Linked DNA regions of Caenorhabditis elegans. The protein of the gene in region 1 purifies or fractionates together with the protein of each later gene. This does not show direct contact. Each region holds a gene or a part of one and is shown in the gene's direction. Other genes may lie near its edges.

The links. Proteins that work in one complex are often made in the same cells at the same time.
Region 2: the proteins of str-166 (region 1) and unc-85 fractionate together in Caenorhabditis elegans (co-fractionation; one large-scale study listed by BioGRID). This does not show direct contact.

Annotation. Positions count from the first base shown.
Region 1 is NC_003282.8:4,882,496-4,887,403, forward strand, and holds str-166 (Serpentine receptor class r-10), read left to right. Parts: upstream 1-1,788; 5' UTR 1,789-1,800; coding exon 1,801-1,992; intron 1,993-2,036; coding exon 2,037-2,124; intron 2,125-2,359; coding exon 2,360-2,438; intron 2,439-2,603; coding exon 2,604-2,738; intron 2,739-2,926; exon of another isoform or gene 2,927-2,947; intron 2,948-3,040; exon of another isoform or gene 3,041-3,154; intron 3,155-3,598; coding exon 3,599-3,740; intron 3,741-3,772; exon of another isoform or gene 3,773-3,786; coding exon 3,787-3,918; intron 3,919-3,940; exon of another isoform or gene 3,941-3,961; intron 3,962-4,022; exon of another isoform or gene 4,023-4,041; coding exon 4,042-4,219; intron 4,220-4,279; exon of another isoform or gene 4,280-4,284; coding exon 4,285-4,367; downstream 4,368-4,908. Other genes in the region: T08B6.1 (60S ribosomal protein L35a), read right to left, coding at 4,573-4,863.
Region 2 is NC_003280.10:4,700,140-4,703,782, forward strand, and holds unc-85 (putative histone chaperone asf-1), read left to right. Parts: upstream 1-1,929; coding exon 1,930-2,041; intron 2,042-2,090; coding exon 2,091-2,557; intron 2,558-2,605; coding exon 2,606-2,756; intron 2,757-2,825; coding exon 2,826-2,923; 3' UTR 2,924-3,080; downstream 3,081-3,643. Other genes in the region: scc-1 (Sister chromatid cohesion protein 1), read left to right, coding at 1-178, 224-658; F10G7.9 (C3H1-type domain-containing protein), read right to left, coding at 3,345-3,487, 3,618-3,643. UniProt on the Caenorhabditis elegans protein: Histone chaperone that facilitates histone deposition and histone exchange and removal during nucleosome assembly and disassembly.

The DNA of each region.
Region 1 (4,908 bases):
GGAATACATTTTTGTAAGTATGGGAACAAATGTATGTGTGGGAATGTCGGCATAGGAACGTTCGACTACTGGATGTAAGCATGGGAATTTTGTATGCACGGGAAAAAATGTATGTATGAGAATGTCAGCATGGGAACGGAAAAAAGGGAAAAAATGAGCTGTAGGCATGGGAGTACTCGAACTACTGGGCGTAAGCATGGGAATATTTTGTATGCACGGGAGAAAATGTCAGCATGGGAAATGTGTGCATGGGAAATGTGAGCATGGGATAGATTGCCCAATTTTTAGATGTTGTTTTTCATATAAAATACCCACGTCATCATATATTTTTCATTTTGTATGTAATTTTGTGTTACTCCCACATTTGCAAAAACATTTTTCTTTTATTTTATGTGATTTTCAATACATTTCCATATCAATATACAGAAGAAATGTTTAATTAGAATTTTTTATAAATCGAATTAAAGAAATGACCAGAAGAATATACAAACTTATACAGTTACATACTGAAATTAAAAAGGTGAAACGGAAATTTTTTGAAAACATTTGGATTTTTAATTCTTATTAATGAGAGTGGGATGTCTGATTTAAATCATGAAGGTAAAACAGTTAAATTTTTTAAAAAACTTTTTTGCAACGAAGTTTTGAATAGCTCAGTCTAACTTGGAAAAAAAAACTAATTTCTACTTTTTTAAATACATTTTTACTTTTCATTCGTTTTCTCAATAAATTCAGATTTTGTTTCCAAAAAACTCACCACAAAAATTCATAAATGTTCATTTTCAAACTTACAAATTTTTTTCTACTTCGAACACAAGAATATTCTGATTGACCTAAAAAGAAATAGTACAATTTTCAATTAAAGAACTTTTTAAACAAAGTAAATTGTGTAGAGCCATAAACAGAAATGCATGAATAGGGGGTAGGCTGGCAGGCGCGTAGGCCTTTTCACGTGCCTTCCGCGAATTTTCTAAAACGCCAATAAAATTTTATATTGTTTCAGTATGTTGACAAATTCCAGCTGCACTGACATCCGCTAATAAAGTATCAACATTAAATTTTAAGAGATTTCCAGTGTTTTTCCTTTTTTTCTGATTATTCACACTTCCGCACTCAACGTATCTCACAGAATACCACGTATTTGCAGTTCTGAATCACATTCTTCTGTCTCTTATCCCCACTCTAGACAGCTATTTGATGAATTTCCTTCCTTTTTCGTATAGCTACCGAAACAATATCTTTTGTTATTGTTCCTTGTATTCACATTTTAACAGCTTCTAGAAAATTAGGTTTTGTGCAATTTGAGCGGAAAATAAGGTTTTGTATTTTGCTTAATGTAGATTGATCTACGAGATAGTGATTTATTTCTCCGTTTCTTGCTTATATTTTTCGTGAAATTTGAAGTAAAATTACTGAAATAGAATATTAAATTAATTTATTAATAAAATTGATCTTCCCTTTGCTGTCCAGAAAATGTGACAAATCATGCTCTTAAATTGGCTAATTTAACACATAATGTTTTTATTCTACAGTTTCATGTTCTCGTCATAATTGCAAATACTTTTCTCCTACAATATCTTTTTTTTCTCTGCTTAAAAATTAAGAATGACGTCACGGATGTTTTTCCACTAGAGTCGCCCTGCAAAATAATTGTGACGTCACATTCTGGAAAAACCACATTTTCCAGAAATCTGCGTTAAAAAACATTAAAAATTTCAACAATAAAAAACGGTTTCATAAATATTACTAATAATCGTTGATAATATGTTCAATTTATTAATTATCAGGTGATCAGTCAAAATGCGAATTTCGAACAATTTAAACCTCCTCCTTCAATGTTCTTCACTCATTTGTGCAATCGTTTTCAACTCACTACTGATCTACTTGATAATCACAAAATCTCCGAAGAAAATGGGAAATTACAAGGCACTCATGATATATTTCTCAACGTTCTCTATGGTTTTTGCAGTGATTGATATGATTGTGCAACCGGTAAGTTCATTAAACTCAGTTTGTTTTAATTTTCAAGTTTGCAGTTCATCCACAGTTACGGATCATGTTTCTTCATGATAATGAGCATCAAAGACTGGCCGTTTACAGTGGAGATGGCTCAGATAGCTTTGAGTAAGTTGTCTGCACTTGTAGGCACTATAATGCCTACCTGCCTGCCTGCCTACAAACCATACTTAAATAACTTTGAGATTAAAAAAAAAGTCATTTAAAAATGATAATTCAAGTTTGGTCTTGAAATTTTTTTTAGCCGATTGAAGCTGATTCTGTTCTCTAGGCAGGTAGACATTTTTCGTGCCTACTTGAAAATCTGAATTGATAAATTTAATTTATTTCACTTTAATTTCAGGCATCCTATGTGGTTGTGGGGGTGTGACCCCTTTCCTGATTGCAATTCATTTCATTTATAGATTTTTTGCTTTGGAGAGGTAACAATGTTTTCATGTTTCACAAAATATATTACAGTTGGTGTTTTTTTAGGAATTCTGAAAATTCACTGTGTTGATTTGATTCACTTTTTATAGCTCATTTTGTTTTGGTTAGATCTCAAAAAATCAAACATTCAGTCGAATTCAGTAAATAATATTTTTCAGAAAAGGAAACCTAAAATATTTCTCCGGAACCTACTTGTTTATGTGGTTCTTGATTCCAATCGCTGGCGGTATTAATTGGTTTCATCTTTCTTGGTTCTACTATAGAAGAAATGATAAAACAACAGAATATATCAAGTAAGAAGTTGTTGAAGATCAAGATATTTTTTTAGAAAAATAATTTTTCAAAATATTAGACTTTTTATTTTTGCTACTACATTCAAACAAATCCAAATACACTTTAAGCGCCCAATTTTTAATTTATAAATTTAAAAAAAACACTGTTTCGGATTGCATTTATTATCCCCAATTAAATCAAAAAGTATTGGATTTGATCCGCGATTTGAATCCGCGAGTTGATAAATCTTCCAACAATGCTGGGTCATCATACAAACTACACAATTTGAAATTTTCAAATTTGGTACCGCATTTTCCTCATTCAAAATTTCACAAAAAATTTGGAACGCTTCACGAATTTGCGTGTCATCCTTGCGCAGGGGCCATGCTAATCTTCTCTGTATTGTTCCAATTTTAGTATATGTTCTCGGAAGAACGAGATTTATGGAAAAACGGGTCGTTTATATAAGGGCTATTTGGATAGTACACGACACTTCCCGGGTTCCGCCACACATTATTATTGGTGGTGGTGTTAGACGGTCTTGTACAAATCACTAAATCTAATTGAACCTGTGTTTCATGCAAAATTTAGAATTTTACTGCTATGATAATTGCTTTTAAGATTGTGAAATCTTTTGAAAAAGTTTTGTCGATTTCTTTCTCGTAAAAAATATAGCTGTTTATGGCATTTTCTATTGAATTGTCATGCAATTCATTATGGCCAGAATAGTATTTCGTTTTTTGAATAGAAGTTCACAATTCACATCACAGTTTGGCCCTCTTTTTAAAAATTAAACTTCATAGAAATTTTTCTAAAGCTGAATAAAACTTATATACAAAACTTCCAACAACATTTGACTATTATATTCAGTTTTTTTCAGGGAAGCAGTATTGGAAAACTTTGGTCTCCACATGAATGAGACCGTCTACTCTGCAGCATTATTTTACCCGGCAGATGAACATGGAGTTCCTAATTTGGATATCAAGATTTTTATCAGTTATGTCATCCTCTCTTTCAGTATGGTAAGAATTTTCAGTAACTTCCAAATAATTATTATTGTCAATTCAGGTAATTCCATTCGCAGTAATGCTTGTTGCCGGGGTGAAGAGCCATTCACAAATCAAAAAATTGATTGAACAAGGAGAATGTGACTACACAAAACGACTACAGTTGCAGCTGTACAAGGCATTACTGGTGCAGGTTGGTTAATTGAAAGACACAAGAAAGACGAACGACGTGAACAACGAAAGAAAAAATAAAGTTTCAAATTTACTACATCATCAAAACAGTTGAAATTATATAAATTTTTATTCGAGGTTTCAGACATTTCTCCCAATCTTCTTGTTCTTCATGCCAATGGGAGCATTGTTCAGTGCTCCACTTTTTCATATTGACATCGGAAGTTGGTCATATCTCACTACATACCTGTATGCTTTGTATCCAGCAGTCGATCCACTTCCAATTATGTTTATAGTACAAGAATATCGAAATGCGTTTATTGGTGAGTTAAATTTTGCTGTTTCAATAAATTGATTTAAACAAAGAATATAACCTGAATTAATTCAGAACTATTCGACTGCTTCCGATGTTCTCCACCTTCTCGAATAGAAGATTCGTCGACAATCAAAAGAGATTCAGAAACTGTATAGAATATTTCTGAGAACTGAATAAAATTTTTTTTAATTGAGAGAGAAAAATTGGAAAGTACGTCAATCGGAAACCAATTGGTAGTAATTTCAAAAAAAATAGCTTGTTGTTTATAAACTTGATAAAACAGATAAAATTGACTCGGAGAAAAATAAAACAGGAGAAAATTTGCTTCAGTTTCACACTTCCAATAAAAACGGAAATAATTTAATACGGAGCAGAACGCTTTGACTTAAAGACATTTACTGTAGCATTAACATTGACATATTTGACAATTGTCACTCTTTGTCCCGGACGTGGCTTCGCATGACATTGTGAACGTGAAGCCGTTGTCTTTCCGAATCCTGGCTTGTTGGTCCTCTTTGTGGTAACTGTGACTTTCCTGTTACGGAATTTGAATCCGGAGAGGACAAGAGCGCTGGCACATTGAGCAAGTTTTAAGAGAGCCATCTCGGCCTCCTCGCTGGTGTGATTGTTGTTGATGGCTTGTGGAGTCATTTTAAAAGTTGTGGATCTGCAAAAAATTAATGAGATTAGTAATCT
Region 2 (3,643 bases), on another chromosome or scaffold:
AGATATTCAAGCGCAGGGACCAGCCGTTGATGAATTCTTTAATGATGTGCGCATGGATGATGATGATGACAGACAACCAGCTCAGGAAATGGACTTTGGTGACAACTTCGATTTTCCACAAGAAGTAGAACATCAAGAGTGTGCTCCGATCCCTATCCAGAGTGGATTCGCTGGAGAGGTAATTTTTGGTGCGAATTTCAACTCTTAAAATATTATTTTACAGAACAAAGAGAACGAGGACGCAGAGGATTGGTCTGATCCGTTCGGTTCTTCAAATTCCAGCAGACGTGGCCAGCTTGAAGCCTATGGATTCGGAAATACTTCGACCTACAAGGAAGACGATGGCAAATGGGCGAAACGCGCCAAGCACATTCTAAAGAAAGTCTCCGCGGATATTGAGACTTCGGGACAAGCGGACTTCTCATCTGTCACAGCAACTGCCAAGAATCGCAAGCAAGCTGCAGAGCAATTTTATTCGTTGCTTACCCTGGCCAAGTCTCAAGCAATAAGTGTTGATCAATCAGAGCCATACGGAGAGATCGTAATTCGTCCAGGAGCCAATTTCAAAGAAGCATGTCCACTGAGCTCTCCGAAACCGATGGGACTTGGAAATACAATGGAAAATTCCACTATGAGAACCCCAATGAGACCAGTTTAATCGTTTTAGCTTATTATTATTACTCGCCATGCATAGTTTAACCTCTTCATTGTATATGGTATCTCGATTTTCTTAAAAGCAAGTATTATTTTTATTCCACGATTATTCATATACGGATATTATTTTTGCGGTATTATTTGTTCGAAAAGTACGAATGTACTATCTTTTTCTGTAAATAAAAAGCATCACGGTTTTAATGTTCTTGTTAATTGCTCAGGTTCCGATTAGTCGAGAGAAGAATAGCGAAAAAAAAAAGATTAACTCGGCTCTACTCAACTTCAACGTTTCCGTGTACAATTTCATTCATTCCATCTAGTTTCAAGTGATTTGAGATTCGCTTTCTTCGTATGAAAAAATGACTACATAATTATGAAACTTGGTGAATTTCATCTACAAACGCGTAAACGTTATTAAAAAAGCTGTTAAAATCTGGAAATTACATTTTTCCATAACTTTCAAGACAGGACACTCCGCTGCATTAGAAAATGTCTTCGAGACTAAATGTACGGATTTTACTAAATTTTGAGGCAATTCCGAATAATTTTTGCATTTCAGGCCCACCGTGAAACATTCACGAGGGTACGCGCAGAAAGAGAAACGCAGAGGGGGTACGTTTTCGTAAGGGGATTTTTTCGTAAGGAACGCTTTCAGTAGGGCAATGTGCGGCGCGCCTTTTCGCAAGCCCGCCGCACAGTCCTTCGCAATCGATTCGAAATCGATTGAAACCCGTTTTTGTCATCGAAAATTCTGAAAATATCCGTATTTAGCTCGAATAAAACTAATTAATTTCCATTAAAAATCCGTTTTTAATTGAATTCCGTTCGAAATTTCCTGTTGGAAAAATAAATAAATAAATACGAAGAAGCGTGCGGCGCATTGCAAAAAGCCGTGCGGCGCATTGCGAAGGACTGTGTGGCGGGCTTGCGAAAAGGCGCGCCGCACATTGCCCTACTGAAAGCGTTCCTTACGAAAAAATCCCCTTACGAAAACGTACCCCCTCGAAACGCAGAGAACAAAATGCAAGCGCGCTCCACCGGTACGCGCCAATCGCCACCATTTTAACTTACATAATTGCGGGAATTTTTGATTTCTCATTTTTTCTCATCATTTGCGGATTCATTTTTGCAATTTCATTTACCTAAAATTGATACACTTTTTGTTAAAAATGATTTTTTTTTCAGTTTTATTTTGTTTCATGCCAATACTGTTGTGAATTGTCTTTTATTTTGAAAAAGTGGGCTCCTAAATAATTAATTATATTTTTCTTTCAGATGGCTTCCCGTGTCAACATTGTTCAAGTACAAATTCTCGACAATCCTGCGATGTTTGTCGACAAATTCAAGTTGGAGATCACATTTGAAGTTTTTGAGCACTTGCCGCATGGTAAGAAAGAGGAAAATATAAACTCATCGATAATAATGATAATTTTCAGATCTCGAATGGGAATTGGTCTACGTCGGATCCGGAACATCCCGAGACTTTGACCAAGTTCTCGATTCAGCGCTCGTTGGTCCAATTCCAGAAGGACGCCACAAGTTTGTGTTCGACGCGGATCATCCGGATATCTCGAAGATCCCAGTCGATGATATCGTCGGTGTCAGCGTACTTCTCCTGCGCTGCAAGTACAACGATCAGGAGTTTATCAATATGGGATGGTTCGTGGCAAATGAGTACACCGAGGAAGAGCTCAAAGAGAATCCCCCATCGCAGCCACTCATCGAAAAGCTTTCCCGCAAAGTCGAAACTGAAGATCTTCGCATCACCACATTCCCGATTCGCTGGACTGATGAGGATCCGGTCGCAGAGCCTGTCGAGGATGAGGCTAACAGAGTATTCGCGGAAGATGACCTCATGCCTCTGAATGATGATGGCCAGGAAGATGACGATGAGGAGGAAGAGGTGAGAAAATGAATTTTACTTATTCAAAAATTAAATAATTTTATTCAGGATGATGACGAGATGGAGGCCAACGCTGAAGAAGTGGATTTGAACGAGAGCTTCAATGAACGATTGGCCAATGCACTTGACGGGGCCGAACAGAAAGGCGCAGATGAGAAAATGGAGGACGATGGAGCAAATGAGGATGTTGATATGGCTGGTAAGTGTTACTTGGTTTCTCTAACCCCTTCTTGTTTCGTGATGTGTGCTTCTCACCCTGTAATTATAGATGACGAGCCTGGCGTTCAGATCAACACTGACACGAAAGTTCCGGAATCGATGGCGGAGCCACTCTCAGACAAGACAAACAACGAAATGGTCCAGTGATTTCACTTCCAGTTAATTTATATATTTTGAACTTATTTTTATTCCCACCCGATTTTCAGTGACTGTCAAAAATTCACATAATTCGTTCTTTCATTTTTTTTCTTTTCAAGAATTTTCACTTTGAATGTTTTCCGAATAAAACTGTACAGTGTCATTCATTCAATGTTTTTCTTAAAACAAACAACTGAATTATATAAAACTGGTTTATTGTGATTGTACTATATATATAATACACCGGAGTAAAATAAACAGGCAAATTGATATGACAGTTTGAACGTCAGCTTGATTTGTAGAGATCACACCGTTTCAGTAAAGAAATTGATTTAAAAAGAAAATAACTGGAATTTTTAAAAATGTCTAGCGAGTTCTACTTTTGATTTTCCTCGATTTTTACTACATCCTATCCATTTTCTCGTCCGGTTCATCGCCGATTGGCGAAAAAAGCGAACAACTTGCTTTTGTATTCTGGTGTCTGACGAATGACCACATTGAAGAATTGATCCATTAGCTTTTCAAATTCTCGGAATTCCGGTAGAAAGTGCAATGTTTGTTTGACAGCCGGCTCTGAAACGGGCGAGGATTACGGTAGCTACGGGTGACCTGAAAAGTTAGATAATCCTCCAATGGGACGAGTGGGAATCAATGAAAGACACGGGGGGAAGTATAACAGAGAATAATCGGCGTGTAGAAGAACCTATGTCGGATTCGTTGTATTTAAAA